4 linked regions of the Tamandua tetradactyla genome follow. The protein of the gene in region 3 interacts with the protein of the main gene of each other region in a pairwise test. Links are inferred from orthologs where the notes say so. Each region holds a gene or a part of one and is shown on either strand. Other genes may lie near its edges. The genes, in order: AURKB, FBXO7, PSMA3 and ZNF385C.

What was found.
Region 1: the proteins of PSMA3 (region 3) and AURKB interact in a two-hybrid assay, tested with the Homo sapiens proteins (2 studies listed by BioGRID and IntAct). The link is inferred for Tamandua tetradactyla from reciprocal best matches to the Homo sapiens genes PSMA3 and AURKB.
Region 2: the proteins of PSMA3 (region 3) and FBXO7 interact in binary tests that used the Homo sapiens proteins (3 or more experiments, as listed by UniProt). The two-hybrid records come from large-scale screens. The link is inferred for Tamandua tetradactyla from reciprocal best matches to the Homo sapiens genes PSMA3 and FBXO7.
Region 4: the proteins of PSMA3 (region 3) and ZNF385C interact in a two-hybrid assay, tested with the Homo sapiens proteins (2 studies listed by BioGRID). The two-hybrid records come from large-scale screens. The link is inferred for Tamandua tetradactyla from reciprocal best matches to the Homo sapiens genes PSMA3 and ZNF385C.

Annotation. Positions count from the first base shown.
Region 1 is NC_135332.1:62,040,810-62,048,586, forward strand, and holds the start of AURKB (aurora kinase B), read right to left. Parts: upstream 3,089-7,777; 5' UTR 2,976-3,088; intron 2,956-2,975; exon of another isoform or gene 2,794-2,955; intron 2,704-2,793; 5' UTR 2,679-2,703; coding exon 2,631-2,678; intron 348-2,630; coding exon 224-347; intron 114-223; coding exon 65-113; intron 1-64. UniProt on the Homo sapiens protein: Serine/threonine-protein kinase component of the chromosomal passenger complex (CPC), a complex that acts as a key regulator of mitosis.
Region 2 is NC_135333.1:24,545,678-24,554,003, reverse strand, and holds the start of FBXO7 (F-box only protein 7), read right to left. Parts: upstream 3,292-8,326; 5' UTR 3,223-3,291; coding exon 2,927-3,222; exon of another isoform or gene 2,729-2,926; intron 2,693-2,728; exon of another isoform or gene 2,563-2,692; coding exon of another isoform or gene 2,526-2,562; intron 1-2,525. UniProt on the Homo sapiens protein: Substrate recognition component of a SCF (SKP1-CUL1-F-box protein) E3 ubiquitin-protein ligase complex which mediates the ubiquitination and subsequent proteasomal degradation of target proteins and plays a role in several biological processes such as cell cycle, cell proliferation, or maintenance of chromosome stability.
Region 3 is NC_135338.1:7,394,981-7,403,323, reverse strand, and holds the start of PSMA3 (proteasome subunit alpha type-3), read left to right. Parts: upstream 1-4,866; 5' UTR 4,867-5,010; coding exon 5,011-5,031; exon of another isoform or gene 5,032-5,111; intron 5,112-7,319; coding exon 7,320-7,402; intron 7,403-8,343. UniProt on the Homo sapiens protein: Component of the 20S core proteasome complex involved in the proteolytic degradation of most intracellular proteins. This complex plays numerous essential roles within the cell by associating with different regulatory particles.
Region 4 is NC_135332.1:25,144,389-25,151,814, reverse strand, and holds the start of ZNF385C (zinc finger protein 385C), read right to left. Parts: upstream 3,455-7,426; 5' UTR 3,396-3,454; intron 1-3,395. Other genes in the region: ATP-dependent RNA helicase DHX58, read right to left, coding at 5,484-5,684, 5,989-6,085, 6,912-7,102.

The sequences.
Region 1 (7,777 bases), on a different chromosome or scaffold from region 3:
TTGCCTCCCCATTCCCTTCCTTTTCACTGCCCCCCACCCCCACCCCAAGGCTCAGGGCACTTACATTAAGAAGCTGGGTGTCCCGCTGCTGTTGTCCATTATCTTCTGACCAGCTAAGGAGAGAACAAGTAAACTGAGGCTCACCTTTGACAGGCTGTCCTCCCTGTCCCCACCCCACAGGCTCTGGTCCCCTCAGGCCATTCCTCATCCCCGTCGTGGTTACCTGTGGGCTGGGCATTGGAAGGCTCTAGAACGGCCCTGGAGCGGCTCATGAGGACAAGAGCAGATGGGGTGGCAGGCTCCTTGCGGAGGACTCTCTGGGGCAGGGTGTTCAGGACAGACTGAGCCTGAGAAGGAACAGTTGACAATTCTGAGGCGCTTTTGTCCCAGTGACCCGGCTGGAATGTGTGGCAAGCAGCATTTCAGTACTACTTGCTGCAAAGCCACCCACTCACCCATCCTTAGTTCAATGAGGTACACTGACACCACAGTGCCACTACTCTGCCCCAAGGCTCTGCTCACAGCCCCACATAAAAATGGGTGAATAGTAAACAGCCTCTGTTGGCCTAAGACAAGGGACAAAGGACTCAGCCCAACACCTTATATTATACTTCTTTGGCTCTGGCTCCAACCACGTTCTTGGGCATGAGGCTGTCCCCTATAGCTCCTCCCATAACATCAGCCCCCAACCGCCCAGTGCCCCCAAACCCAGGGGTGATAATGGGCTGGGCCAATGGACACCCACAATTCAAGGAATTGTAGCAGAGGTATTCTAACAGTCCTTTGGAAAACTCAGTCCATAAGGTTTAGGACTTCTTTGGTGGCCCACCGAGCACTTCCTATTTTCAACCTCTCAGGGCACTATAAACAGCTTTTGGGGGGGAGTGACTGATGTGGAAGTGACAATCGTTTCTCATTCAGAAGTGGCTTATTATTTCTCCATGACAGCTTCACTCAGGGATCCATAAGGGGGTGACGCAGAGGAAAAATCCCCAGGATGCCCAAGCCCCCAATAGAAAGCAGAGTCTGTGCAGGGCACCTTCCTTTTTCTTCAGCCAAGTGAGGAAGGAAGCCCCAGTGCCCTTAAAAACCTGTTCCAAAAGGGCGATTATCAGTACAGAATAGTTAATTAAGCAAGGTGAGCAAAATAGAGTCCAGAAATTGATCCACATGTATGTGGGAATTTAATACATATAATAAAGGTGACATTTCAAATCAGAGTCGACTTTTCAATGAAAGATATTGAGACAACTACCATCCGGGGGGAAATCTATTTAGATCCCTTCCTTACATGGGTCATTAAAATAAATTCCAAAGTATTAATTTAGACTTGTCCTGGACCCCTTTTGAACAGTAACTGTATCTAAATCCTTCTAGAGTCTATTTTTAGTTCTCACCTAACATATTTTTTCAGGGCAAGGGTAGGGAATCATGGTCTGCCTTTGGCTTGACGCTCAACCCCAGATGTCACCTGCATGTGACATGTAGGCCCAGCTCTGCAGAAGTCCTCACAGGCTGGGGGCCACTGGCTGGTCAGAGTCAAGCTGGCAGCACTTGAGAGGCCTTTCCTAGGATGTGGCTGTGAAGGACCAGACCCAATTCTGCCATCAAATTCCGGGGGCACCCCAATCTTGGGGTTTGTTCATATGAAACTTAACCTCACAAAGGATAGGTCAAGCCTACTTAAAATTAGGCCTAAAAGTCATCCCCGAGAGAACCTCTTTTGTTGCTCAGATGTGGCCTCTCTCTCCAGCCAACACAACAAGCAAACTCACCACCCTCCCCCGTCTACGTGAGACATGATTCCCAGGGGTGTGGACCTTCCTGGCAACATGGGACAGAAATCCTAGAATGAGCAGAGACCCAGCATCAAGGGATTGAGAAAACCTTCTCAACCAAAAGGGGAAAGAGCAAAATGAGACAATATAGTGTCAATGGTTGAGAGGTTCCAAACAGAGTCAAGAGGTTATCTGGAGGTTATTCTTCCACATTGAGTAGACATCACCTTGTTATTCAAGATGTAATGGAGAGGCTGGAGGGAACTGCCTGAAAATGTAGAGCTGTGTTCCAGTAGTCATGTTTCTTGAAGATGAGTGTGTAATGATATAGCTTTCACAATGTGAATGTGTGTCGTGAAAACCTTGTGTCTGATGCTCCTTTTATCTACCTTGTCAACAGAAGAGTAGAACATATGGGATAAAAATAAATAATCGGGGGAACAAACGTTAAAATAAATTTAGATTAAAATGCTAGTGATCAATGAAAGGGAGGGGTAAGGGTTATGGTATGTATGAATTTTTTTCTGTTTTCTTTTTATTTCTTTCTCTGAATAGATGCAAATGTTCCAGGAAGTGATCATGATGTGATAATATTGTGATTTATTGATTATATATGTAGAACGGAATGATCAAAAGTTAAGAATGTTTGCGTTTGTTTGTTGTTTTATTTTTTTAATTAATAAAAAATAAAAAATTCCGGGGGCGCCCATGCGATCGATCATATCCGGGAAGAAAATGCTTGAAGGCTCGCCCTCTGCAGAACCCCAAAGTCGGGACTGGGGCGCATTAGACACTCTCTAAGGGGGTACTCTCGCCTTGCAGTTTGGAAGTACAGAAAGGAAAGAGCCTTACCGTCTGCCGGCTGTAGGGCCAGGGGTGGGCGTTCTCCTTCTGGGTCATCCTTGGAGGGAAAGGGGGCGGAGAGCTGAGCAGGAGGAAGGAAACAGAACCATGAGAAGGAGAAAAAGAAGGAGCTAGAGAGGGAGGGGTCTGATCTCCGATCGGAAGCGCTTGCCTGGGGCAGGTCAGCAAGTCGGCCGCAGTCTGGGGGCATCCGGGCACTCGCCTAGACTCGTCGGCCCTGGTGCTGGCCCCCCTCGCCTCCAGGAAGTGAGCGCGGCTCTGTCCAACGGCCCCCACACCTGCCGGACCACCTGCCCTGTCCCGGCGCAGGGCCCGCGAAAGAGCCCAGCTCACCTGCAGCCCGCCGCGCAGCTGCTCACCCCGCCGCCCGCAAACGACTGAAGCTGCCCCGCAGCGCCCCCGCAGTGGCCCTTTCAAATCTCCCGCCCTGACCTTATTGGCTAAAGGCACCGCCCATGCGCAGTTCTCATTGGCTGATAGCCCCATGACGTAGGCCGCGGGGGCCCAATGGAAGGGGCGGAGCGAGCCGCGGCACACTAGGGTTCCGGCCGCGGGAAGTTTCCCTTTCCTTCTCCATACAAGTATTCTCATACTTTTTAATATAAATTTTTATTTAAACCTGTAGTGTATCTGAAATTTACTCTTGGGTATATATGAGATAGGGTCTAGCATTGTTTTCTGCCAGATGGCTAGCCAGTTGTGCCAGCACCGTTTGTTCAACAGCCCAGTCCCCTCACAGAATTTAAATGCCACCCTTGATATATTAAGTTATGTATATTTTGTGGTCTATTTCTGGGCTTTCTAATTCCATTAAGTTGTTTGCGTAAGTGTTTATTTTTGTGTCACTATTATCCTTTTCTTTAAAGTCCTTCACTCACATCCCTCGCAGGAGTTTTCCACCGGTCGACATTTCTCGGCAGGTCCCCTGACTTCTGCTGCGTCATTTGAACCCACTCTTTTTTTGTCCTTCCTGCCATGTTCTCTAATTCTCTGCTCCTTCAGACTCCAAGCTTCTATTATTTTGTTAAATAAAGAAATTTGGGACCACCTTTGAAATAACCAGGGGACGTTTCTAAGTATTGCCTGTTCAGCATCATTTCCCCATTCTAGTAGCACCACCCTAATTTCCCTTTAGGGAGCCCCCGGGTGTCCCCATTCTGTGCAGTCCCCATGAGACTGTTACTCATAGTGTCCAGACCCCTAGGTTGAAAGATGATACTGTGACCAATTCAAGCCAATCAGAATCTCTGCCTGGAGAGTTTACTTCTTTTTTTTTTTTTTTAATTTTTTATTAATTAAAAAAATTACAAGAAACACAAACATTCTCAACACATACACTCAGCAATTCACAATATCATCACATAGTTGCATATTCATCATCATGATCATTTCCCAGAACATTAGCATCAATTCAGAAAAAGAAGTAAAAAGACACAGAAAAATATAACAAACAGAAAAAAAAAAATTTACAGGCCATACCCCTTACTGATCCCTTTCATTGATCACTAGCATTTCAAACTAAATCTATTTTAACATTTGTTCCCCCTATTATTTATTTTTATCCCATATGTTCCTCTCATCTGTTGACAAGGTAGATAAAAGGAGCATCAGACACAAGGTTTTCACAATCCCACAGTCACATTGTGAAATCTATATCATTATACAATCATCATCAAGAAACATGGCTACTGGAACACAGCTCTACATTTTCAGGCAGTTCCCTCCAGCCTCTCCATTACATCTTGAATAACAAGTTGATATCTACTTAATGCGTAAGAATAACCTCCAGACTAAGAATAACCTCTGGACTCTGTTTGGAATCTCTCAGCCATTGACACTTGGTCTCATTTCACTCTTCCCCCTTTTGGTCAAGAAGGTTTTCTCAATCCCTTGATGCTGAATCTCAGCTCATTCTGGGATTTCTGCCCCATGCTGCCAGGTGGGGAGTTTACTTCTTAATCAGGGTGAGGCACAGATGAAAGGCAGTTGAAACTGAGTCATGTCTGGGCAGTGCCCTCAAAAAACTGGGTTTTTGTTACCGAAATCCCTGAGAATGCCCTGGTTTCTGTGCTTCCCAAGGCGTGATTGTTAGCTCGTCCTTTGATTCTGTGAGCTACCTGTTATCCTCTTGTTGTTGGAGTGAGCAAGATGTTGGTTTCTGTTGGTGACAAGTCCCTTCCTGATGGAGAGCTATTGTAGTGGACACTGTGGCCATCCAGCCAGCAGTCAGTCTCCCAGCTATTCCCGTTGCCTGAACACACCTAGGATTTTGTGGATTGGGCCCTGATTGATTTAAGACAATCAACTTCTTCAATTCTCTGGTTCAGGGAAAAGCATGTGACCTAAATGGGCCAATTAATGGGAATCTTAGTCTTAGAATTCTTACTTAGAATGCTGAGTAGAAGTTCCTTTTCTCCTGCTGGACGCGATCTAGGAAGTACACAGCCTGCACTGATGCTAGTGCTGTGCCTGAAGGATGAGAGAGACTGACGCTTGACCCTGCAGAAGTCAGAACAAGGCCTGGGAAGAACCTGAGTCTTTTATGCCATTGTCAAGCACAGCCTGCCTACTTCAAGACTTTCCTTATGGGAACGAATACGTCACCTTCTGTAATGCATTCTGGGCTATGAGTTCTATTCTTTGCTGTCAAAGGCATACTAATTTACACACAACTACAGACCTATAGTAGAATTGTTTAGGTTGGATGAGATGAAATTGATGATATCCAGTCATTATTTTTTTAATCCACACACAAAATGGAAATTTCATATGATTCAACCAGATATTAATCAAATAAATCCTTATAGGTTTCTGGATCAGTTCATAATACTTTTGGGTGCAAGTAACAGAAAACCCATTTATCAAAGGCATAAACAATGGGAACCTATTTTCCTTTACATAAAATGAAATGTAGAGGAAATGGGTGTGGCAATTTCTCAGCTGCTAAAACAAATACCGTACAATGGGTTGGCTTAACAACAGGAATTTGTCGGGTCATAGTTTTATAGGCTATGAGCTTCTGGCTGGACAGTGATCTTTGGGATTCTTTGGCTTTTCTATCACGTGGCAGTGCACATGGTGGCATCTCCTTGTGGCTGGCTTCTCTGGGCTTTGTTGACTTCTGGCTTCTTCCTGTGGCTTTCCTTCTCTCTGTCTGAATTTCACTCTGCTTATAAAGGGCTCCAGTCATCCAGATTAAAGTCGAACCTGAATCAGGCCACAGCTTAACGGAAGTAACATCTTCAAGATATCCTATTTATAGGGGGTCCACACCACCAGAATCCGAAATGTGGACCACGACCAAGAACTGGTCCAAATGGGGTACACAATTCAACCCACCCCGGTGGGTAACTGGTTCGAGAACCGAACAGTGTTGGAGATCTGGATTCTCCTCTCTGCAATACTCATTTCCCTTTTGGTGGCAAGAAGGCTGCCATTTGTCTTAGGGAAAACTGAAGCCTGCATAGAAGTACCCAGCAGATTTCTCCTTGGCTAGAATTCTGTCCCGCAACTAATGCAAAGGAGGCCGCAGGGAAAGTGAGTATCCCTTCCACCAGCCACAGTGCAGGCAGTGAGAGGCTAGTGGTGGAAATGGTTTCTCATAGTTGCCTTATATTTCATTCTGACTAATTAAAAAAGTCAGAGATCTCCACATGATGAGCCATCTCCCAGACATCTGATGATCATAATCACTGCTTCCATTTATGAAAAGCCGTTTTGTTTGTGGAGTGCACATTGTCTTCACTTAGAGTTAAGCCCAGCCCTGCTTCCCAAAATCAGGGAGTCTGCTTCAACTGCAGTGCCTCTACTTGGCATAAAGAGACTGGCCAAGAAGAATCTTATTAAAATCCTAGCACTTGAAGTACATTTTATTCCTCGTGACCTAGTGAAGGGACATCTTTCTGGATCCTGTCAGAGGTCAGAGTGCATGGGGGAAATGTACTTGAAAGATCAAGACAGTATGCCTGTAGCCTGGGGTCTTTAAATTCTGCCTCCACATTATGCCAGGAGATGTTTAGCCTTTGAGGGTATCTGATGGACCAGCACAGTGTCAGATTTTGCGTTATTCATAAAAACAAAACAAAAACTATTAGATCTTCCTGGTGCTTGCCCAAGCTAGTGAATTGAGTATAAAATCAAGAGCTTCTCAAAGTATTTGTGGGGAAGGACTGGTTATATTCAATCTATCATAGATGATTAAGTTTTACAAAATACAATGAACATGAACTCATTGGAAAATGAAATTTTGAAAACACAGAAAATACAAGCCCACGTATATATAATCAACATGTATTGAAGATATACATTCAATGTTGTTCAAGTTTGCTAGCTGTCGGAATGCAATATACCAGAAACGGAATGGCTTTTTAAAAATTTTTTTACATGGGCAGACACTGGGAATCGAACACGGGTCCTCTGGTATGGCAGGTAAGCATTCTTGCCTGCTGAGCCACCATGGCCCACCCATGGAATGGCTTTTAATAAGGGGAATTTAATAAGTTGCTAGTTTACAATTCCAAGGCCGAGAAAATGTTCCAGTTAAAACAAATCTACAGAAATGTCCAATCAAAGGCATCCAGGGAAAGATACCTTGGTTCAAGAAGGCCAATGGAGTTCAGGTTTCTCTCTCAAGTGAGAAGGCACATGGCGAACACAGTCAGAGTTTCTCTCTCATCTGGAAGGGCACATGGTGAACACAGCATCATCTGCTAGTTTCTCCTGGCTTCCTATTTCATGCAGCTCCCCAGGAGGCATTTCCCTTCTTCATCTCCAAAGGTTGCTGGCTGGTGGGCTCTGCTTCTCGTGGCTATGTCGTTCTTCTCTGCTCTCTCTGAATCTCCTATTCTCCAAAATGTTTCTTCTTTTATAGGACTCCAATAAACCAATCAAGACCCACCCAAATGGGTGGAGACATGTCGTCACCTAATCCAGCTTAACAACCACTCTTGACTAAATCACATCATCCAGGGAGATGATCTGATTACAGTTTCAAACATACAGTATTGAATAGGGATTATTCTACCTTTATGAAATGGGATTTTGATTAAAGCATGGCTTTTCTAGGGGGCATACATCCTTTTAAACCAGCACAAACATATATTAAAGAACTTTGATGAGTTCTATAAAAGTTTCCA
Region 2 (8,326 bases), on a different chromosome or scaffold from region 3:
AACCATCAAAAGCCAATTGGGAAGATCTTGATGAGAATGAAATCTGGGATGCCTTTTCAGTGACCTTACAGGGCAGTTAGCATACTTTCTTTTTTTTGGGGGGGGGGGGGGTGCATGGTCCAGAAATCAAACCCGCGTCTCCCACATGGGAAGAAAGCATTCTACCACTGAATCTTCCGTGCACCCAGCATACTTTCATTTCAAAATACGAGACCTATGAGCTAAGTGAATATTCTTAAATCAAAACAGGTGTGTGCAGATGACTGGGTACAAAATCACCCCCACTACTGATGGCAGGTACAGGTCCTCTTTTCTACTGATGATGAGTTATGATGTCTTTCATATGGAAGACAGTACAAATTCAAAAACCCACTGCTAAATAACCTAAGAGCTCAAATAAGCCTGAAGCAACAAACTCTCCATCCTCTGTGCATCACGATTATCTGACCTTGTGAGTATAACCATCGTCTCATCATACAGAGGTGATAATTAACAAAAAGTGTAAAACATTTTATAAGACTGTTATAGCCAATAATACCTCTTTCATTAAGTTTTTGAGAGGTTAACAAAGGATGAAGTTCTTTGAAAATCCTATTCTGTTTTTTCTTTCTTACAATGCAGCATATTTTCAAAAGTGCTCAAAATAATTCATTTTTCTTCCACACACAAACATACTTCTTCTTACCAATTAAAAGTGTATTTTGTAGAGAAAGTACTAGAAGTTTACTAGTTATTAGCAAAAAGTTAGCAACTTACTAAGCTTATTATTTACTAGCAGTGTGAGTAGAAACTACCACTGCTTCTCAGAAAACAAGCAGCTCTGCTGCTGTTTTCAAAATGCTTTGATAAACAAAATGTTCAGAATCTGCCAGCTGCCCAGAAAAACAACATCCCAACTTTGGCAGAGAAAAGAAAAACACCTCATGAACTGTTCGTGTTTATGGATCATTTGTCACAACAAAAGTTTTTTAACAGTATCTAGTACAATGCATGTTCAAACATCTAGTCTCTATTCATAGAAAAGGTAAAGCACTTAAGAAATATGCCAGCCTTCCCTGCCCCCTTGAAAAAAGAAAAAGCTATTCCTGAAGTAATATGTAGTTTTCCAGGGAGAGGGTTAAAAATGATTCTGTTTTCTGAAATGGTGCATAGACAGGAACAAAAAATAATTTTAGTTTAACATTTCAAAAGTTAAACAGGCAATGAAACTAGAAACTCCAGACTTTTTCAAGATATTTTATGACAATTTCGGATCCCTTTGCTCTGTGAAGACACTTTTTAAAAAATAACACCTGCCATTTGTACATGCTTTAACACTGCTCGTTTATTATAAAATGAACATACTTTCCAAAAAATGAATTTACTTTCACAAGTTGCAGTTTAAACTGTTTCCTGTCAACCAGCCTCAATTGTGAAAACAAACCTGAAAGAGAAACTAACTTAGGCTCTCGGGTAGATTCATATTGAATTTCACATCCTTTCAAGATTGCCCTACCTACTTAAAAGAAATATCTATACATACTTATGAAAATACCTTAAAAAGAAAAGTTCATTGTGAAAATTTATGGTAATGACAGGAGGAACCAAAATACTTAGGTTTAATACCAAGAAATAACAACAGACACGTCACTTACCATAATGCTCAAAGTTATTACCATACCTCCTCATTTTTTTTACTTTGGAGAAAACCAGGCTTACTTTTAATCTAATAATGTCTTAATCTGAAGAATGAAAGAGTGAGGAGTTCATAATAGGGCCTAACTTTAATGAATTCCCTAAAAATAAACTAGAAGCTTAAAAAAGTCTTAGGAAATAAGCCGCTTCAATGAAATTAACATAAAAGTTTTCTTTTTTTTTTTTGAATAATTCACCTAAAAAGCCCCCAGGTAATATTTTTTTAAAATGTTTAGCAAACTCATAAATTTCAAATTCACCGGCTCAATATTCGAAAAGAAGCCTCCTTACTTTGTCCCTCTATTACCAGATGATTGCCAAAAAAAATACCTCTGAAAACAAAATAGCAACCCTATAAATTAGTACCAAAATCTCTCTACTTCACTGTTGGAAAACTGAAACTCTGCAGGGTCATCCTAAGGCCAAAGTTCACCTCTGTTTTAGCAAACAAGCAAAATCTCCCCCAGGAAAATTAAACGATTTGTAACAAGCTTGCACGCTGAACTTTCTAAAACTGCAGTGGATAAGTGAAAATGCTCACCGACGTAGCTGCCACACAGATGCTCAACCTACTCTTAAAAATAATTATTACGGCTTTTACAGCTGCAGTACAGATAACAGGTGAATTATGATAGAGGGCAGATTTTTGACTTCTACTAGTATTCTTCCCAAAAGTTTATCACTGAAACACCCAACAGCTGAAGAAACTGAATTTAAACGCCCTATAGTATGGACAGGTTAACCCAACCCAAACTCAGAATTTCCAACTTTAAATGCAAACATCGTGTGCATTTTCCATTCTATCCTAGCCATGGCTTCGTTTACTTTAAAGACGGAATCGATTTCCTTACCCTGGAGGGGATCCGAGCCGCCGGCAGGCTGAGCCATGAGCTCCTGGAGCCGGGACCCCCCGCCCGCAGTAGCCCCGGCGTCCCGCTCACTACTCCTCTAGCGAACTCCCGCCCTGGTCCCGGGCCCTTCCTCGGCGAACTTGCCCCGGCCTCGGCGCGTCACAGACCCAGATGCGCCTAAGCACGACCACGCCCCCGGAGAGCGGACACTAACGTGACCGCCCCTGACGGCTGAGCACCTTAGAGGAGCACTCAGCGGCGCCCAGCAACCGCAAGGAGCACGGGCGGTCTAGAGCGCAACGCGCGCGGACTCTCCCCCCAAAAAATACCCAAGTACACTTTCCCCGCAGTACACACCCGTATCGCAGCCGGCCCTCCGCCCCCGACTCGCCCCCGCGTACCTGTACCCCAAAGTGGGCAGCAGGGCCTGGCTTAGGTGCGCGCGCAGCTGCCCCAGCGTCGGCTCTGCATCCGGGATCTCCAGCGGCCACGTCCGCCTCTGAAGCCGGACCCGCAGCCTCATGGCGGCGGCCGAAGGCCTGGTGGGGCTCAACTCGAAGGCGCTGATGGTGGCGTCAGACGGGCCGAACAGCTCCCGTCCCGCGCAGCGGCCCCGGACGGTGACTTCCGGAGCTGTGGGGGTGCTGAGGCGTAACGGAAAGAAAACTCCGCAAGGGCGGACGCCCCGCCTCTCCATAGGGCGCCCCCTGGAGACAACCCCGAGAGCCGGCAGCTGGCGGCCAGCGGCCAGCGGCCAGCGCCCAGCTCCGCGGTTCCGGGACTCCCGATCGGTGACTCGGCGCGCAAGGGCGCAACCCTGGAGGAGCACACTGCGCAAGCGCCCAGATTGCGACAAGGCGCTGGGATCTAGGCTTGTTAGTTTACGTGGCTTTTTTCGATTCCTTTCAGAAGTGCCTAGAAAAACAGTGCTGAAAATGATGCTGTGGACATTGTAACGTGCCACTTCCCAAGGACGTGTGTACCAGTTTTTACCTCCTTTCCTGCGTGGTGAACTATCAGGTCTTCCACGCCCAGTTGCAGTGGCACCTTCCGAAAAGCCGTATAGCGAAACCAGGTAGCGACCTCCTCTTGTGGGTCCGCAGCGCTGAAGAATTAAATGGTATAACGTTATGTCAAAGCCCTGTCATTTTTGGTCTCCCCAGTAACTGCTGTATCGCGCTGTTTATTTCCTTAGAATTTATCATCTGGAATTCTCTTTTAATTTGCTAATTTCTGTATTGGCGTTTTCCCACACAAGAACATGAGTTTTGTGGATCGAGGACCGAGTTTGTTTTGTTTACCGCCTAGTGTTGACCTTAGCATATGTTATACCATAAATGAATATCTTAAAAATAAATACTGTGTAGGCCCTGTTGTATAATGTCCTTCTGACCCTGCACCCACAGTTGGGAAGGCAGAAGAGTTTACGGCAGGTCCCTGCTCTCACCAAATAGAAAACAAATGTTATAGTGCATATAACAAATGCAATAGTGGAAGTAAGTACAAGATACAGAAGTGGTTAACTGGAACTTAAGGCGTTAGCAAGTGTATTTAAATTGTATTTTAAAGTATAAATGGGAACTTTCCAAGAGTCTGCAAGCAATGGTGTATACAAAAAGATGCAAAAAAAAAAAAGCCAAATAGCAGGCATATTCAGGGTAGCTGTAAGAAGTTCGATATTACAGCGCTTAAGATTCATGGGGTAACTTTCCTCTCTAATTAAGAAAGAAAAAAATAAAACGAAAAAACTAACTGGAAATGAATTACCAAAGGGAAATGGCTAAATATGATATATCTATGATAAAATGCTGTACAGACACAAAAAGGAATAGGGTAAATTGGTAAAATTATTATTCACTATTATAAGATGTGCATGATAAATAGTGCAAAGACAAATAAAAAAATTGCAGCTGGAGGATAAAACATAGGACGTATACACAGTGAACCCTGTGGTGGATGACGTCTGTGATTAATAATTAAAAGTATAAAAATATTCTTTCATATTTCATAAGGGTCAATAATAGTGGGATATCAGGGGTATGAGATTTTTTTTCTAAAATTTATTGTGATGAATGCACAATTACTCGATGATATTCTGAACCACTGATTGTATACTGTGGATTGATTTGTATAGTGTATGATTATGTCTCAATAAAACTGCTTGAAAAAGAAAAAAAACTCATGGGATAAGGTGGACACTGTTGTAATTGTTGGATTATATGCCCCCATTTGATTATAGACATCTGAAGTCATCTGGGCTTGGAAATTGCTCAAGAAATGCATGGTGAATGAAGGAAAGAATTAATGAATCAACCCAAATGGTTTTTCAAACTCTTTTTGCCTTGGAAGTTAATAAAACTAAAGCTTGTATGAAAGCTTAATATATTCAACAGATAAACTCAATAAGAGAGGATGGACTGAGATACGCCCCCTTACTTTCCAAGCACTCTGCCCCAGCACAGTTTGAAATCTGGGAATCTCACTCCCTCAATTTCCCAGATGCAGGGCCCACCTTCAGAGGTTCAGGATGTGAAGGAGAAAAAAGCAGTACCAATAGTACTGTACACTGTGATAAAACGCTCAAAATATTTTCAATCTATAGACTTCCTCAGTCTATGAAATCACAATCTCTTACTGGTCTCAGTTGCTAACAACCGCAACAGTAAAACACCCAGCAGCATTAATAGGCTGGGTTGCAATTTTTCAAGGATCACTAATAAAGGGTTTCTTGAAAGCTTCCTGTGTGCCAAGTTCTATGCCGGATACATTGCATGCATAATTTCATTTAGTCTTCATGGCTCTGGGAGATGGCCGCTCTTGATTGGCTTTTCAGTTGGATAACCAACTTAAGCTTGGATAGCTTAAGGACACCCAGCTAGCAATATTGTCATTGCCTGTCTCAAAATAGAACTGAAATTTCTAACCACTATGCTAAATGCCTTCTATAAATGTTACATGGTATAGCCTGTTCCTCTAAAGAAAAGTTCATATACAGAAAATTGGTTGAATTGTAGTACATGTATACAATGAAATCTAAGAAGCTAATAAAACAATAATGTAAGCCAATATATATTAGATAATATATGTAAGATCCAATATACAATGATTCTGCAGTTTTCTTAACATAAAAAATTGCAGAACAATTGTATAATATTGCATTCATGTTTTTATGGGTATATGTAAACATATATTTACTTATGTATGCATATAAAATTTCTTGAAGGATTTTTTTTTTAACCTGGACATCTGAGAGGGGAAATGACTTTCCAGTACAATGGAAACTCAGCTTTCCAAGTTCTTGGAAAGTTCATTAGTAAAGGGATGGTGATAATAGTATGAGCCTGAAATATCTTAGTAAAGGGCCACTCTTCCCCTACATACAGGCATAATTGTACACCCACAATTCCCCACAAGCAGACCTGGCAAGGCATCAGGTAAATTATTAGAGCTCTCTCCTATTTCATATAAGCTTTTATAGTTTTTGAGAAAATGCAGATACATTTTTCTTTTGGTCTTCATACTGTTCCTGTGAATTAAGCAAAATATATTGTCCTCATTTTGACTGATGTAAAGAAACAAGCGTCCAGCTAAGGGAGTGGCAAAGGGTGCATATCTAATTAGGGGAATAAAAAGATTCAGACCTAAGGTGTTTATCTGGAAGTCAAATTCAGCTAAGGAATGCATGTATAAATAGGAAGAAGATTAAAACATTGTGCAAACTTGATCAAGCAGCTCTGAAACCATGAGCCAACAAATTCTTGTTAGAGAAAAAAAAAGAGCCTTGATTAGTGGTAACAATCTGTGTTAGAGGGTATATTAGTAATCTATTGCTGTGTAACAGTCACCCCCAAATTTAACAGCTTACAACATTATCTCACAGTTTCCATGGATCAGGAATTTAGGGGTGGCTTAGCTAAGTGGTTCTAGCTCAAGTTCTCTAATGAGATTGCAGCCAAAATGCAGACCAGGGCTGTAGTCGTGAGAAATGTCAGCTCAGGCTGGAGATCTGCTTCCAAGATGTTTCACTAACGTGACTGTTGGCAGGAAATCTCATTTCTCGATGCATGAACCTCTCCACAGGGCTGTTTGAGTATACTGATGACGTGGCAGCTGGTCTCCCTCATCCCTGGTGGTCTGAGGCAGAAGCCACAATGTCTTTTATGATCTGAGGGTTGGAGTATATAGACCTTAGAAGTTACATACCATCATTCTGTCACATTCTATTGGTCACACAGACCAACCCTTCAGTGTGGGAAGGACAGTCCAAAGGCATGAATACATCATAGACAGGGATCATTTGGGGACCATCTTGGAGGCGGGCCACCACAGAGGATCTAATGACAGCAACGATGATGATGATGATAACTTCGAGGAGGGAGAAAATTCACCTTTACTGGATAGCCTCCAAAACATTGTAAGAGTCAGAAGTTTTCCCTGTAGATGGCAGCACTTGTCCACAATTTGCTATTCACTCACCAAAGTAAGTTCCTATTATTCACCTACTCTGTGCCAGATGGTCACAGCTGCAGACTCAAAGACAAAAAAAAGACATGTTCCTGCCCTTGCAGGACTTACACTTGAGTGAATCAACTCTTGAAGTGGAACCTAAAAAATGTCTTGTTTATGATAGACACAAGCACAGTCTGAGGATTGGAGTATATAGAAGGTTTCTGTGCCAGTAGAGCTCCTTAGCAGTGAGCAGTAGAAATGACTACTGTGAGCAACAGGGGATTCTCTAGAAGGAAGTGAAGGAGCTCATAGGCATGAATGGAGGCAATAGGACTAGGCTTGGGTAGTCTGGAAACATGCAGCCATCTCATGTACTACTCCCCTGTCCTGCTCAGAGGCTGCCACTGAAACAAATGAATCAAGCCTTTCTGAGAAGGTGGGTATGGGAGAAGTGTTCTAGGTGAATTTTTATTGGAAGGAATATGGCATTGAGGATCCCTGTCAGGATCAGGGTGACTCTGTGTGTCCGGAGTAAAGGACAGAAGTGGGCGCAGCCTAAATAAGGAAGAGGTTTAGGCTAAGCAAGGAATTTGTGAGACATCTCAGAATGTATGCTCGGCCACTGGAAAGTCTTTATCCGTTAGGAGTCTTTATCCATTAGGGTGACCAATAAAAGCTGACTCAGTTGGATTAAGCAGGAAAAGAGGAAATTAAAAGGATACTGGATAGCTCAGGGAATTCTTGGGAGGGCTGGAGAAGTAACACCAGGTTAAGCTTCCAAGAATGAAGCTCAGAACCACAATGAAGAAACGGCCTGATGAGAAAACTGTCTCATCAGCTGGCATTGTTGCTGCCACCACCATACTACCATTAAATACAGTGCACCTTGGCAGCCTCCTGCACCAATAAAGAGCCAAACTCCCAGCAGAGCCTGTTTCCTCACAGTCATTACTTTCGAATCAATGATTTATACAGTTTTATCTGTTTGAGGGAGCCCAGGTTCCATGTCTAAGTCCTAGCTACTACAGATACTTGGAATTAAGATCTTAACTCCTTCCTTGGAGAAGTGGAGCTAATAATGTTGGAATTTCTCCAAGTATAAGAAGGCTATTCAGAAGATGATAGGCAATTTAACCAAGGAGATGAAAGACTTGTAGACTAAAAACTACAAAATGTTGCCAAAAGACCTAAATAAATGGAAAGACATTCCATGTTCATGGGTTGGAAGACAATATTTTAAGATGGCAATACTATCCAAAAAATCTATAGATTTAATGCAATCCTGCTCAAAATCCCAATGGCAATTTTTTATGGAAAAGGAAAAGGCAATCCTCAGATCCATATGGAACTGC
Region 3 (8,343 bases):
AAAACAAAAAAACTCCCTGAAGTCCAAACTCTAGAGGTTACTGTGTGGAGCACACGAGCTTACTTTCTTCCTTCAGTATGGTCTTGTCAATGAAAGCCAAATTGAGAAAGGGGGTTCTGATTCAATTAAAACAAGGCCTCTTTCGGGTGTCTGCCTGACAATCAAGAGACAGGCCCTTCAGGGTTGTTATTACCTTTCTGCTCAAATAAATAGAAGATGAAAAGAAAGGCTTATAGGGTCGCTGAGTCATGGTAAAGCATGTTAATTCTAAGAGGAAAAGAACAGAACTTGATTTTGACCACACTGACAACCTGAGACAACGGAATACCCTCCCAAACAAAAATAACTATTTATTTTGAAATACTGGTGAATCTTTCAGATAGGGAATTCTGCAAATTTCTGTATTTTAGTGGTGATGGTGGTGTTTCCATCCTACTGCTCAGAACTTCCAGTTAAAGCCTATTTGAAGGCTGGAACTAACAAAGAATTCTTAGGGATATTATCCCTAAAATATAGTATATAAAACCTAAACACACTGGGCATCACATCCCCGGAGAACCTAAAAAAAAAAAGAAAGAATAATGTCATAAAATATTATATGATTAGATTACTTAAAGCACACCTAGGATTTAAATAGAATATTTATATATTTTTAAGCTTAAAATGTTATTACAAATAGGGAAAACTGTGTGTTTGTGGGGTATGTGGGAACTCTGTACTTTCCACATGATTTTTCTGTAGACCTACAACTGTTCTAATACAATTAAAAAATATATTATTACAATTATACACAGTAGCAATTTTTTGTTGCAATTGAAAACTCTGGCTTACTTGTGATTATTTTATAAACTTGGCAGACAGCAAGCAACTTTACTGAAAAGTCAATTCAACTGTATTTCTTAGCACATTCAATATATTTATTAAGTATCTACCAAGTACAAGGGTATTCTGGTAAACAGAAGGATAACATAAGAGGCCCTGATAGCCTCAAAAAGCTTATCACCTCATAAGAAAAATATGTGTAACTATTCAGTGATTTTATTTGTACTGCCCTACTTCCAAAACTAATTTGGAGTAACTTCAAACAAACCAACAAACCCATACCCACATCTTTTCAGTCTTCTGGTGAATCATGCAAATATTAATCAACAGACCATACAATTCAATGCACTTTTTCCAAGGCACAAAATAAATGAACAATCAGCTCCAAACTAGGCAGATCATCTGTCAGTATGTTCAGAAAGAGCCCATATTCTTTTTTTTTAATTGACAAAAACAACATACACAGTATACAATCAATGGCTTACAATATCATCACAAAGTAGTATATTCATCACCATGATCATTTTTTAGAACATTTGCATCACTCCAGAAAAAGAAATAAAAGAAAATAGAAAAAACTCATACGTACCATATTCTTTACCCCTCCCTCTCATTGACCACCAGTATTTCCATCTACCCAATATATTTTAACTTTTGCTCCCCCTATTTTTTTTCTATACCCCTTACCACTCCCTTTCATTGATCACTAGTATTTCAATCTACTCAATTTATTTTAACATTTCTTTCCCCTATTATTTATTTATTTTTAATCCATGGTTTTTACTCAACTGTCCATACCATAGATAAGGAGCATGAGACACAAGGTTTTCACAATTACAGTCACACTGTGAAAAAGCTGTATCATTATACAATCATCTTCAAGAAACTTGGCTAGTGGAACACAGCTCTACAGTTTCAGGCACTTCCCTCTAGCCTCTCTAATGCACCTTAAACTAAAAAGGGGATATCTATAAAATGCGTAAGAATAACCTCCAGGATAACCTCTAGAACTCTGTTTGAAATCTCTCAGCCACTGACACTCATTTTATCTCATTTCTCTCTTCTCCCTTTTGGTCGAGAAGGTTTTCTCAATCCCTTGATGCTGAGTCCCACAAGAGCCCATATTCTTAATGATTAATGAATATAATCTAGGCACTAGGCACTCAAATAGCGCTTATAACACACAAGTAGTGAAGTTCATTAAAAGTTTCACTGGATTCCTAAACAACTTTGGCATACTTGCTGTCTACCTTCAGAGTGAATCCTCCTATTAGAAAGCTTTTAGCTCTCTTCAGGATTTTTTGGCCTGTCCTGGTCTAAATCATGAGCATTTAATGAAAGAACTGCAACTAGAATGCTTCAGTGTGGGTGAGGCAAAGTAAATGGCTGATTTTCCACGTAAATTCAATTCCTTTATTTATTCATTTGTTAATGAATAAAACCTACTGTGTAATTATGATGCTTCATTAGCAGGATGAAGCAGTTGAAATTGCACTTATTTCTTTACTCTCTATATCCAATTCTTCAGCAAGACTTAAATATCAGAAACCCACCCACAGACATCACTCTAGTCTAAATCATTCTCCATACCACTTGGGCATGACTGCAACAGTTCTAACTGGTTCCCTGCTGCTATTCTTCCACTTAGCTATCATTCCTTTTTTTATAATTTATTGTAAAATATAATATATACATATATACACACCATACATTTAAAAGTACATTTAGACAAGTAGTTACAGAACAAATTTCAAAGTATGGTATGAGTTACAGTTTCACAATTAGAGTCATTTCCTTCTAGCTGCTCCAAGACACTGGATATTAAAAATAAATATCAATGTAATGATTCAGTAGTCATCCTCATTTGTTGAATCCTATTTTCTCTGTTACAACTCCTCCTTTTCCTTTGATCCTTCTCCCAATGTTTAGGGATATTTGGGCAATGACCATTCTAACTTTATGTTTAAAAGGAGTGATAACATTATGTGGTAGGGGGATGCAACTAGTTGATATCTTTTGGAGAGACTGGTACCTCTACGTTTCAGGGCTTATCTGGCCTATGAATCATCTGAAGGTCTTAGGTTTCTTAGTCCCAACTAGATCAGCTTCGTTCTCTAAGTGAAGGCTGATCTATTTTTTTGGTTTCTTTAACAGTTGCTGTATGTAGCAATAGTGTCTTTTGGAGCTGTAGAACCCCAACTCTGTGTCTTAGGTGTCACACAGGTACCATCTTTTTTGAAATCTCAATGCGTTATTATTAGAATGGCAACATCTTTACAAATTGGTTTTCACTGACAGGAGCTATAGTCACCATCACCATTTTACCTTGACTTAGCTATCATTCTCTTTAAATAAGACATTATTTAATAATGTAAATCAGATCATACATTCTCCTGCCTAAAAACTGCTGATGACCTCACAGTAGATACAACAATAAATGTGGACACAATGATGGAATTAGAAAATTACTATCTGGCAGCGATCACAATAATAATTTCATCAAATAAGAATTTCAATGGATGCTATAGTTGGTGAAAGGCTGAGGAGTAACAGGATGTTGACTCACAAAGTATTTACTCACAAATATTTATGAATTACAAAGGGAAAAATAGAAACTTAATAGTAAAGAAAAGTTAAGGAAGTGATCAAAATTAACATCATCAGTAATGGAACAAATTGACATCAAGTACCTCCAAAAATAATGCTCTGAGATGAATGCAAGGTCACTTCTGTGGTATTCCTGCCAAAAATGCATTATCTGACTCTAATCATAAGAAAACATCAGACAAACCCAAATGGAGAAATATTCTACAAAATTGTCTGTAGTCTTCAAAAATGCCAATGCCATGAAACCCAAAGAAATTCTAGGAACTGTTTTCCAGATTAGAGTCTAGAGACATAGTAGCTAACACAATAGGATCTTGGGTTTTCTTTCGCTATGAAGGATGTTATTGGGAAAACTGCCAAAATCTGTATAAAGCCTGTAGGTTATAGTAGTGTTAATTTTCATAATTACACTGTGATTATTAAGGTGCTGTCTGTGGGTTTTTTGGTTTGTTTGTTTGGATTTTTGTTTTATTTTTTAAAATACACACTGAAGGATTTAGGGGTAAAAAATTGCTGATGTCTTCCCATTTCAGTCAGATTAAAATCCAGTACTACATGATATGGTCCCATGTCCGCTTCCTGCCACTCTACCCCCCTTAAACACTGTGCAGAGCCACACTGTTCCTACAACAAGCCAAGCTCTTTTCTGCCCTTCCTGTTATCTGTCCCACTGTTTTCTCAACCTAGGTTTCAGCTAAATTACCAACCACTTAGAAAGTCATTCCCTGAACACCAGGACTAAAGCTTCCTCCTCTACTCTATCAAAGTTCTCCTCTCGTCTCACAAAGTGCAATTATTTTGCCTATTTATTCATTATCGTCCCCTAACTCCATGAGGAATGCGGTGAGGTGGTGTATGTCCTGCTCACCGTCCCATCACCAGTGTCTAACAGAGTACTTTAAACATAATAGAGCTCAATAAATCTCTTGAGTTAGTCTTATTGTGAATTCTACTAAAGAGCGATATAGTCATAGAAAGGACACTAATGCTTTTGGAACATTCCAACCTAAGTTCAACGATGATACGCCTAAAATGCAATTTCATTCTGGAACCTGAGAGTGGTGTGGGTGAAGGAGATGCCTTCAAGAAACGAATGAGAACCAGGTCTTCAACGGTGGGGATACCTCTTCTCACTGCTTTTTTCTCCGCTTGCTCTAAGAGGACACGAACATTTCTCCTCTTTGCTACAAAAAAGAATAAACTAGCAAGAGAGAGCGAATATAAACGATAAATAATGATCCTTAGGAAGAGGACTGGAGCAGCTCTCCAACTACCTGACAGCTCCAAGAGGATCCACGACACTCAGGGCCCGAATTGAGGAACCCAGAACCTGTACCCTCCCAACCCCGCCTCCATTGCTTCTGCACATGCGCGCCGCCCCCAGCCTTCTCCACGGTCTTACTTTACCCACAATTCTCTTCGTTCCGTGGGCTAAAGACCTGGGACACGAGCCCCAGAAAACAGTGCTATTGGCTGAAAGTGCAGCCAATGAGAAAGGCTGTTATTAGTTTGCGCGGTGCTGCGGTGTAGGGGCAGCCCTTCAGGCCTGGAAGCCGTACGCGTCCCGGGGATCTCAACGCGATGAGCTCTATCGGCACCGGGGTGAGTTTCTCTCTCGAGGTGAAGTCTAGCCTAGGAATTCGCGTTGAGAGGAGCTCGGACGATCCTTCTGACGGACTCGGGTGCGTTGGGACTGCCGTCGGCCAAGCGAGCGGCTTCCCCGCGGTCTGGAGACCGGCAGCCTCTCCTTCGCGGTGTTCCAGGCCTGCGCGCGAGAGGAAGCTTTCTCAGCTGAGGGGTAGCGGACCCGGTGGCTCAGCAGCGAGGGTTTGGGGCAGGCTTGGATTGCTGAGTCACTGGCTTTAACCGCTTAGGGAAACCGAAAGTGGAAACGCGGGACCTGAAACGGGGTGGAGGGTTTGGCTGTCGTCCGCCTCGTGAGAACCACGGAGGCGGAGAGGCTTGGGCTTTGCCGAGTCCGGGGCGCCTGGATTGTGGAGACCGCGTTTGCGGTTCCTGGGACACTGCTGACCACGGCCTCCTCTCGTCCGCGAGTGTACTGACCCACCCAGCAGTAGGGGAGTCGCTGGGCGGGCCATCGTGACAGAGCTAGGAAGAAAAATGGTTGGGAAAGCTAAATCTTAGGAAGCCTTTTAGTTTTCCCGTCTCAGCTTTTCCTGTGCAAATTACTTTATAGAACTTCTGGGCATTAATACTGTAAATACTAAAGTGATTACGCAGGAACTTTAAACAATTCTGACTTTTAATAAATAGACTACTGAGGGTTTTGGAGTTGGACTTAATTGTTGTTAGCTTCTTCGGCTTACTGCTTTCCTTTGTCAAACCTGTTGTACATATGAAATCCTTTGCTTATTCCTTGTAGATACTTCATATAGAAATTAGTTTTTGTTTAAAAATATCGGAATAATGGGTTTCTTAGTTCCTCTATTCCAACTTATTCACAAGATTTTGGTACTCAGCATTAAAAGCAGATACTGGTGTTCAGAGTTTGTAATAGGCAACGTATGTTTGGAATGGTTTAATCCATTCCGTTGTGAAATGCCAGTTATGTCATACTTTTTGGATTAGTAGGTGCTCAGTAGTGCATCTTGTAGTAAATGGACCTTGCAACTACATTAAAATTACCTTCATTTATAAGTGTTTCATTATAAAAAGCCTTTAAAAATACCTGTTAATATTACCATATCTGGTCATTTAATGTTACAGTGGTAGAGTTAATAACATTCGCTTAATAGGAAACAGACTCAGAAAGTACCACTGTTGAATGCTTACCTCCTGTACTGACTTCTCCCCAAGAACTCAAGTAATGCATATTTGTCTGTCTACTTGTGACTTCTTTCCACTTGTTTAATAGGAATTTCAAACTCTCCATATCCAAAGTAATGCTCTGGCTTTTTCCCTTCCCTTCCCTTTTGCATCTTCAGCAGTCTTCAACTCAATGAATAGTCCAATTCCAATTATTACAGTGAAAAATATCTGTGAGCCGTCTATAATCCATTTTTTACTTTACTCCCAGAGCCAGTCCATTAGCAAGTTTTTTTTTTTTTTTGCTCTACTCACAAAAGGTAAATTAGATCATATCACACACACACCCCAATTACTACAATTGCATTTATAATAAAATATAAACTTCCTACTCCATCCTAAAAGACACAATATGATTTGGGCCCTTACCTGCATCTCTGATGTAGTCTACTGTTCTCTCCACTGTTTATTGTGCTCAAGACACAGTGAATCTTGTTTATCTTCCTTGACTATGTTAGGCCTATTTCTGTGTTAAGGTCTTTGTGCCAGATGCCAGAAAGCCTCTTCCTTGGCTAATTCTTGTCATTTACGTCTGAGGCAACCTAGATATAATTGCCCCAGTTAGGCCTTCCCTGACCTCTTAGTCTGTGGTAGTCCCTTAGTCTCACTAAACTCTGTTTTCCTCGTAGTACTTTTACTGGTTTACTGCTGTATCTGTAGCACCCAGATTCAATTTGAAAATGAAGGACTTCATGAATGACTAACATAATAGATGCTTATTAAATGTTTGATGCATGTTAAATGATTTGTCCTGGTCTTTCAGTTTGTTAGTGGCACAGCTGCACATCTGAATGTTCTGACTCCATTTCTTTTTCTATCAATATGAGTTTTGCGTTCTTTCTGAAAAAGTGCTGAGAGTTCACCTAGGACTTGTGTCCATTGCTTTCCAATAATCAAGAACTGTCCCATAGCCACTGTTGCTGTTCTGACATACTTCCCCTTCTTCAAAGCATAGTCTTAATTGAGATATGACAAATTCCTGATGCTTTAAGCTATTTAAAGTGAAAAAGTTGCATGGTTGTTACTGGCAAAGATAAATTTATTGTTACTTTTTTTATCCCTAGTATGACCTGTCAGCCTCTACATTCTCTCCTGATGGAAGAGTTTTTCAAGTTGAATATGCTATGAAGGCTGTGGAAAATAGTAGGTAAGAAATATTGTTTTACTTGAAGTAAGTATGTTTTAAACAGATTTCATTGAATGTCTCTTTTTATTTTCTACATTTTTGGTGATTAGGCTTCATTATGTTACTTTGTCACAAGCTGATGTGTGCCTCCAAATAGTTTCAGTGTTGTTAGTCACTTCCAGATCTTCTAGGTCAGATCTTTTCCCTGAGCCCCAGCCTGTATTTCCAGTCAGTTCTGGGATTGTCCATTTAGATATTTTGTCTTTGTTTTCTAGGGCTACTGTGATAAGTCCACACAGTGGGTTGGCATAAAGAGCAGGAATTCCTTCACAGTTTTGAGAGGCTAGAAGTCCAAAATAAAGGTCTTGACAGACTTCTTCTGGAGTCTTTACAATCCTGGTGCTGGCTCACTGCAGTCCTTGGGGCTCCTTGGTTTACATCTCTGCCTCTGTCAGATGACAGTCTGTTTCTTTGGTCTCCTGTGACTTTCTCTAACTGACTGCATTCATATTTCCTGTGCCTTAAAAGGACTCCAGTTTGTTAAGGCCCACTCTGATTCAGTTTGCCTCATCTAAATAGGATCTCCGAAGAGCCTTTTCAGAAATGAGTCCACAACGTAATGAATAATAACACCTTCAGAGGTCCTATGTACAAATGAATATCCACAGGAATGCAGATTAAGAATGGAACGTGTCTTTTGTGGGGGACAAAATTCAGTTCCCAATATCTACTGTATTTTAAATAAACTGTAAAAAATCAAACACATAATCATCCTTGCTAACCCAGTTTTCTCATTTAATTCTTGATTTACTTGGCCATTGGTTTTGTGACCTTGCAGTCTTATTTCCCCTGTTTTTGTTTATTATGTCCTGTTACTCAGTCATGTTTGTGTCAGCAGGGATTCTTTTTTACTTTTTATTTTTATTTTGAAATTATTTCATACTTGCAGGATAGTTGTAAAA
Region 4 (7,426 bases), on a different chromosome or scaffold from region 3:
AAGCCATGTCAAGGAGCGTGCACCTGTGTATGGCATCTCTGTGGGTTGGTGTAGGTGACATGCATACCCGGATGTGAGGGTGTGTGTCCAGTTCCATCAAGCACCTCCGAGCATTAATGAGGCCAAGGTGGGCAGGCTTGATCCCCAAAGAGCCCAATCAGAATCAATGAGTGAGTCAGAGACAGCCGCAAAAAAAACCACTGCGGGCCTCTCTCTTCTGAACAGATACTGTGTCCAGGTGCCATGGGGCCCTCCACTATAGTCAAGACCAATGTGCCCTTCATTCCTGCTGGGGACGACCCCCATTGCCTGGCCAGCTGGCCCCCACACTCTTCCCCATCCAAAGTCCAAAATCCAAACTCAGGGGAGGCCCCCCTCCTCGCTTCGGGTACAGCGCCCTCTGAGAAGTGCGGCTGGAGCCAAGGTGAGGCCCAGCCCTGATCCTCTCCTAGTCTGCCTTCCATCTCTCCTGCTGCTGCAGCCCCCTTTAGCCCTCTCCTTGCTCCCTGGGTCCAATGAGTACCTGTATCCATACTACATTCAGGAGACGAGCAACCTCTCTCCTCCTCATCCCTCCCCTCTCAAGCATCACAGGACATTTTAAAAAGTTGTTCCAATTTTGGGGTGGAGAATGAGGTCAGGAGGCCCAAGGGGGTGACTGCTTGTTGGCAACAGCTGACAGTTTTCATTTCACCTTGAAACTCCTTCGTGCTTCCGGTGAGCATGTCCTAAGCCTGGTTTTATAGGAGAACTGCTGTACTGGGGGGCAAGGAGACCAGGGAGGGAATACACCAAATGGCAGTTTCAGTCACTGACCCAGTCAAACCTACTCCTAAAGTTTGCAGGGCCTGGGCAAGAGTACAAGTGGAGGCCCACATATGTGTGTCTACTAAATATTTAAAAGTTATAAATCAAGCTAAGAAATTGTTAAATAAAATATGTTCCAACTTCCTCCCTTGACAAATATACCTTCAGAACAACCTGGAAGACCAGGTTCAAATTTAGATTTCTCAGACACCTAGGAGTCATGCGTTAGAATGAAGCTGAAAAGACAGATCCTCTCTCACCCCTGGCCTCCGGCCACCACCCCCCTTCCTACTACTAGCTCTTTTCTGCAACTTCAGGGGTTCCCAGGCATGTGTATGAACCCCCTGCCAATGCATCCTAGATCCATCCACACACCTGGCAAACAGCTGCCCCCTTAGCCACCCCCACTCCCCAGGCTTAGGGGTATCCACACTCATGGGCAATCTGCCATGGGGAGGCTGGATCCAGAGAAGGGGCTTGCACAGGCCTGGGAGCAAGCTGGTGACCATCTGCACAGAGACTTCCAGAGTCAGGTATCAGGAGTGTGCAATTGAAGGGGACACACGGGCTCCTGGTAGGCTCATCCCGTTGGCCCTGCTGACTTCTCACCCCATAGGGAGAGAAATGGCTGAAGAAAGGCCAGGCTTCAGGGCAGAGGCACTCCCCCCTTCCCACTCAGGTTTAAGGGTGGTACTGGCCCAGCCCTACTGGTGGCCTCCAGGGCTCAGGCCAGGGTCTGAAGCTGCCTTTCCATTGGAGGACAGCTTGGACAATCCCCAAACAGGATTTTCAGTTACTTGTATTATTTATCTTCCTGGAAATTTTTAGTGTGACTTGATCTCAAGTTCTGGATCTCTGGAGGTTGGGAGCGCAGGGAGGACTTTTTTCTTTTCTTTTTTTTTTTTTTTCCAGGTTAGGTCTTCAAGCTAGGGCTTGTTCTATGGAGGCATAGCCCCAAGTGGGCTCCGGCTGTCACAGGTCCCTGCCCTGGCCGGGCCTCTCCCGCCACCCCTGAGACAAAGTGTGAGACAAACAGGGTGACTAAGAGATGAGGAGGTGAGGGGCCCTGGACAGCCCAGACACATAAGCTGGATCCAGGGACCAGCAGGGGCTGGTGGTGGCAGGGTTAGTGGTGAAAGGTTTCACTCTCTCTGGCCAAGTTTGAAAATAAACTTACACCCTCCCACCCCATCCCACCCCCACCCCCGCAGATCAGCTTTGCTGTCCTACACACAAGGGGACACTTATACTGGTTGACCCCTTGCCAGATGCCAGGCACTGTGCTAAGCGCTCTACGTGCATATTCTCATTTAGTCCTTGCAGCCACTCTATGAGGTGGATTCTGTTAATATCCCCATTTTACAGGTGAGGCAGCAAACCCAAAGAGGTTAAGTAACTTGCCCAAGATCACACGGTAGGTAGAGGAGACAGAACTCGGGTCTATCTGACTCCAAAGCCCACACTCTTTCCACGATAGCACTTTGCCTCTCAGAAATGAGAAGCTGGCACAGGAGCAGAAGGGATGAAGGTCAGATAAAAGAAAGAACTTCCTAACAATGATGGCATGTGTGATGAGGGGAGACAATGGAATGAAGAGTCTGGACAAAGATGAGAGCCCCCCCGCCCCCAACAAATGTCACCTTTGCCCGTCCCAAAGGCTTGTGAGGGTTTCTGGAAAGTCCCTGGGGTCCTGCTGGCTCCAGATAGCAGCATTCTGTCCTCTCTCCATTCTACAATGCAGGGTCCACTGCTCTACCACAACCCGACTCCAAGGCCCAGAGGCTGCTGCTACTTTGCGGGTCAGAGCTCTAAGCAACACACCTGAGCGGGAAGCTCAAGCCCTTTTCTTTCAGGAAGGCTTCCTTGAGGTCCTGGGAGGCAAGTTCCAACGCCGAAGGTGCAAATACAACCCCTGTGAATAGTAGGCCCAGCATGGGTGTGAATACATCTGTGACCCCTTCTCCCGGGCTCTGGAGCACCGGCACAGCAAAAACACTTAGTCTGGAGGCTCTCAGGACTCTCAGGCCATCTGGATAACCCCTGGTTCCCCCACCGCCCTCACCCACCCACACCTGTTCCCAGGTATAAACGATGCAGAAATCCGGGGCTCCTCTGCAAGCCCAGGCCCCAGTTCAGCTGTGCAGTGGCTCTTACCTCATTTGTGCACGGCACAGAAGTCATGTGGGTTGTCCCATCACTTCCCACCAGGAGAGGATGCTGCGCGTGGATGAGGCACCCCACAAGGACTCACTGAGTTCCCCCTTACTCCAGAGTCCCCATAGTCACTGCTCCCAACCTGCTTTTTTCTGGAAAGCCACATCCCTAATGCTCCGCTCTGTCTTTTCCCACCCTCGGAGCCCACCCTAGCGTCAGCAACAGCAAGCTGCGGCTCTCTAAACTTCCCCAGAGTTTAGCCGCACCCGCTACATGCCCAGCGTCGGTACGCAGAGCCAGGATAGGGCTGTCCTCACTGTCCGGTGGGGTCCCCAGTTCTGAGGCGAGGGGAAGGGGCAGGTGGAAGGGCTGCCTTGCGTTCCCGCGCTGCCCTCGAGGTCCTCAGCGCGAGCCAGCCCGCATCGCTCTCTTACCTGCGGGGCAGAGACGGAGCCCGCCACGGCCACCTGCTCTCGCCGCGCTCGGGAGCGCCCCGCCGGCAGCCTGGCGGGGGCGGGGCCAGACTCGGGGGCGGGGCCGGGGCGGGGGCGCCGCGGCCGGCCGAGCCCCTCCCTGAGTCTCGCGGGGCCGGGTGGGCCGGCTGATTCAGGTGGGGAGGGGGCGAGCTGGCGAGCCACGGTTTTGCTGAGGGCTGGGAAGTCAGGACCCTTCGGAGGGCGTTATGAAATCTCCTCCTTCAGGCAGCCTGCCCAGGTGCCCTGCAGCCAGTGGCTCCCTATGTAGACCCCTCACCTGGAGATGAACGCCCAGACACCCCACCTTGCCTGCGCTCACCCTTACCGTTGAGCTCCCTTTTCAAGAAAGCTCTCTGAGCCTGGCAGGGCGGGTGGGAGATAGGACAAACAGCTCAAAGGCGGGGTCTGCTGTCCAGTGGTTGGCGGGGGGGGGGGGGGGCTTGGGCCGCTGAGGGGCTGTTGGGCCCAGGTCATCTGTATCCTTGTCTTTCTCTCTGAACCCCCACCCTCCCAGCTCCCAGTGCCAGCTCAGGTCCCTCAGCTGTCACTATTTAGCCCTGGAATGACAGGCGTCCGGACTCCGTGCATCCAGACACATTCAAGGCCACTGAGCTTAGCACCCCTGAGCCCCTGCCCCCCTCCCTCCACCCCCGTCGCTAATTTTATTGACCCATAGAAGGCACGTTGCTGGCAAGGGGGATAATAACTGAAAGCAAAGTGGGGAGCAGACGGGCAGCAGAAGGGGCCCCCGGAGGCAGAGATGGGATGAGATGGGGGAGGAGGGCAGCTGCCAAAGCCAGGGCCAAGGGACACCCAGAGATTAGAAGGAAGAAGGGCCCTGGGAAGGAGGGGTACACATCTCTGAGAGGAGGGGATCGGGACAGACTGTAACTGGAATTTCAGCTCTCAGATAAGAGACCGAATGAGGGAAGAAGATGCTGAGGGGAATGGAAGGTGTATTGTTTCCCATCTGCCCTGAGGCAGAAACATGGATGCAGCAGGAGGGAAGGAGGTTAGATGGCAGGAAGGACTACCATCTTGCTCTCAAATCTCTGCTCTAGCCCCCTCCGTTCCTCCTGAAGGTGACTCCTGCCTGCTGGGCCTCTCTTACTACAGAAATAGCCCTTTCCCTAAAGAGTCAACCTAGATCTTGCCTTTTTTTTTTTTTCTTGTTAAAATGAGAACAGAAAATTTAGGCCTTTGCAACCCCCATACCCACTTCCATGTCTAACTGAGCCCACCCCTCAAGTCCTGGATCTTAGCCCTTCTCAACCCAGGGGAGATAACCTGGGCATTAGGGGAAAACAGAGAAAGGGAGGCTTTGTGACTGGAGCCCATTACAGAGGGGAGGGGTATGAGCCTCAAACTTAGAATGCTAGTGTCTCTCCAAATAAGGTTACACAGACAGCCATAAAGAGAGTGGTTAAACTTGAACATGACAAGTATACCAAAGCGGGTCATTGGATCTGGAGGGGCAGGAGGTAGGGACGCTAGGAAACTGCGAGGGTGATGGCCATGTTCATTACCTTACCTGTAGAGGAATATACATATGTTAAAACTCACCAGATAAATATGTGCAGTTTATGTTAATTATACCATGATCTAGCTGTTTTTTAAATATCACACATTTTCTATCTCATTTTTTCTCTTCTTTGTTTTTAATTTATGAGGGGCCTCAAAAATTGGAAGTGGCTTTGGCAGAGAAGGGCTGATGAAAGGCCAAGAGAAGCTGTTGTAATTCCTAATACAGGATGGAGAGCCACCTGACTCAGTTTCCCCCAAACTCCATCCATCGCCTATGAAAGCGACTATGCGTATGTGAGGCTGATCTGGGCTTAGCCATGGCCTTCCAACTGCTTCCTTGGTATGGGACGTGGAACCAGCCTGGCTGTCTGGGGCTCCCTGGTGGCCAGACAGGCCAACACCCCAACTTGGGCATTACAGCAGAAGAGGTCTGGACCCAGGCTTTGCTCAGGGGAAGGTGGTGGATGCTGCAGACTCTACCGCCCCCTGCTGCCTGAGACGGGTGCTGCAGGGGTGAGGCTGTCAGTCCAGGAACAGGTCAGACAGGTCAGAAAGTTCAGACAGGTCAGCACAGTGTTGCATATAGTTGAAGTCAGGTACTGGGAAGGGCACGCGGGACCACTTCTTGGCCTGGACTCGCCCTTGTGGGGTCTCCAGTAGCATACTGCGGACTTTGAGAGCTGGCAGCTTCACCGACTTGTAGATCATCTGCAGACCCCAGACCTGTGGGTGTGACAGAGGCACGTGGGGTCTGGGCCTCTGCCGTCAGGCTGGGCATGTGTCTTCAAGTTGGGGTGCCATGAATAGGGAAACTGTGTCTCCCACCTCAGACTGAGAGCTGTCTCCCCTGTCACACTCTGTGCTCCTAAGACAGGGGCTGGACCTTTCCCTGCAGATTGGGGGCCTCTGGGATAGGACTGTCGCCTCCATCCTCGTGAGGGCTCTCAGAGGGCAGGGGCTGGACACCCTCCTCCCTCAGACTGACAGCTGAGAACTCTGGGGCCTGGGAAGCAGCTCAAGCACTCACCTCCCCACAGTTTCTGCAGCTGATGGTGCCCCCAGGGCTCCAGTCCTTGAAGACTCTGTTAATGACCACAGGCTTCTTGGAGACGGTGTAGTAGATCCTTGAGAGAAAGGAGGGTGGCCTTAGAACCCCCATGGACTCTCAGGCCTCACCATCTTTTCTCCAACCGCCAGAGTGAGACCTTCTACAAATGTAAACCTGGCCCTGACATTCCCTTGCTCAAAATCTATCCGAGGCTCTGCATTGCCTACTAGAGGAATGTAAACTCTCAGGCCTAACCTTCAGGACCTCAGTGGACTGGTGTGCTTTCCTTCTGGCTTTCACTGTTCGTGGTCCCTTCCACTCAAGGCAACTGGAATTACCCCTCTCTGCCTTTCATCACCCCTGCCTCTGCTCGTCTTTTCCTCATCTCATCAGAGCCTAATCCAACCCATTCTCTGAAATCTAGTTGAAATGCTACAGTCTCAAATGAATCTGCCTGAAAACCCTCAGCATAGTGCTTGACACACAGTAGGTATCTAATATATAGTTATTTTATTAATGAAAGGATGGGAAACAAAGGTTTTGTGATGAGGAATAGCCAGCCCCTCTTAGTGTCTTTAGAGTAGGTAGGATTAAGTAGTTCTACCCCTTGTGGCCCCTCAGCACTTGACAGCCTGAATTCTAGCTCTTGGTCAACCATACTGCAGCTGTGGGAGTTTGGGCAAGACAATTAGCCTCTCTGAGCCCCAATTTCCTCATCTATAGAGCAGAGTGGTGCTAAAACCCATCTAATCGGACTTGTGAAAATGCAGTATCTGTACATGTTAAACGGCTCTTCAACCTCCAAAACCCATCGGAGCACTGTCTAGATGGGAGGGATTCTCAGTCCCCACCAGCCCAGCCCACCCGCCCCTCATCCCGACTGCCTCTTCCCCGGTTCTCACGAGAAGTTGGGATTCACGCTGACGTGGTGGGCGCCCTCCACTTTCCGCAGGTCACTGCCGTGGCCCACGGCCATCAGGCAGCTGATGCAGAGGAGCTTCACGTGGTCTGCCAGGAACTGCTGCCGCCGGCTTTCCTGCAGGGTGGCTCGGGCTGCTCTCTTGACCAGGGCTGCCCGCTGCAGATCCCGGATCTGGGGTGCAAGGAGACACCCAGGCTTGGCTGGGACCCAGGAGCTCTGACCCCAGGAATGCCCCTAGCCTGGGGACAAAGGGCTCCCAAATACCTCAGAACGTTTGTACCCAGAAGGGACTTTTCTTGTCCCCCCCACCCCTCAGCCCCTGGTGTTTGTAGAAGCAGCTCTGGGGAGAAAAACATTTCAGGGGCAGGGTAGAAATAGGTATTGCCACTGAATCTCTTCCCCCTCTTTGGAGAACTTCATGCAAAGCTTTCTTTGAACTGATCACCTCAGGGCAAGTGAACAGACATTTTTTGCCCAATCTGGGACACTTCCCAA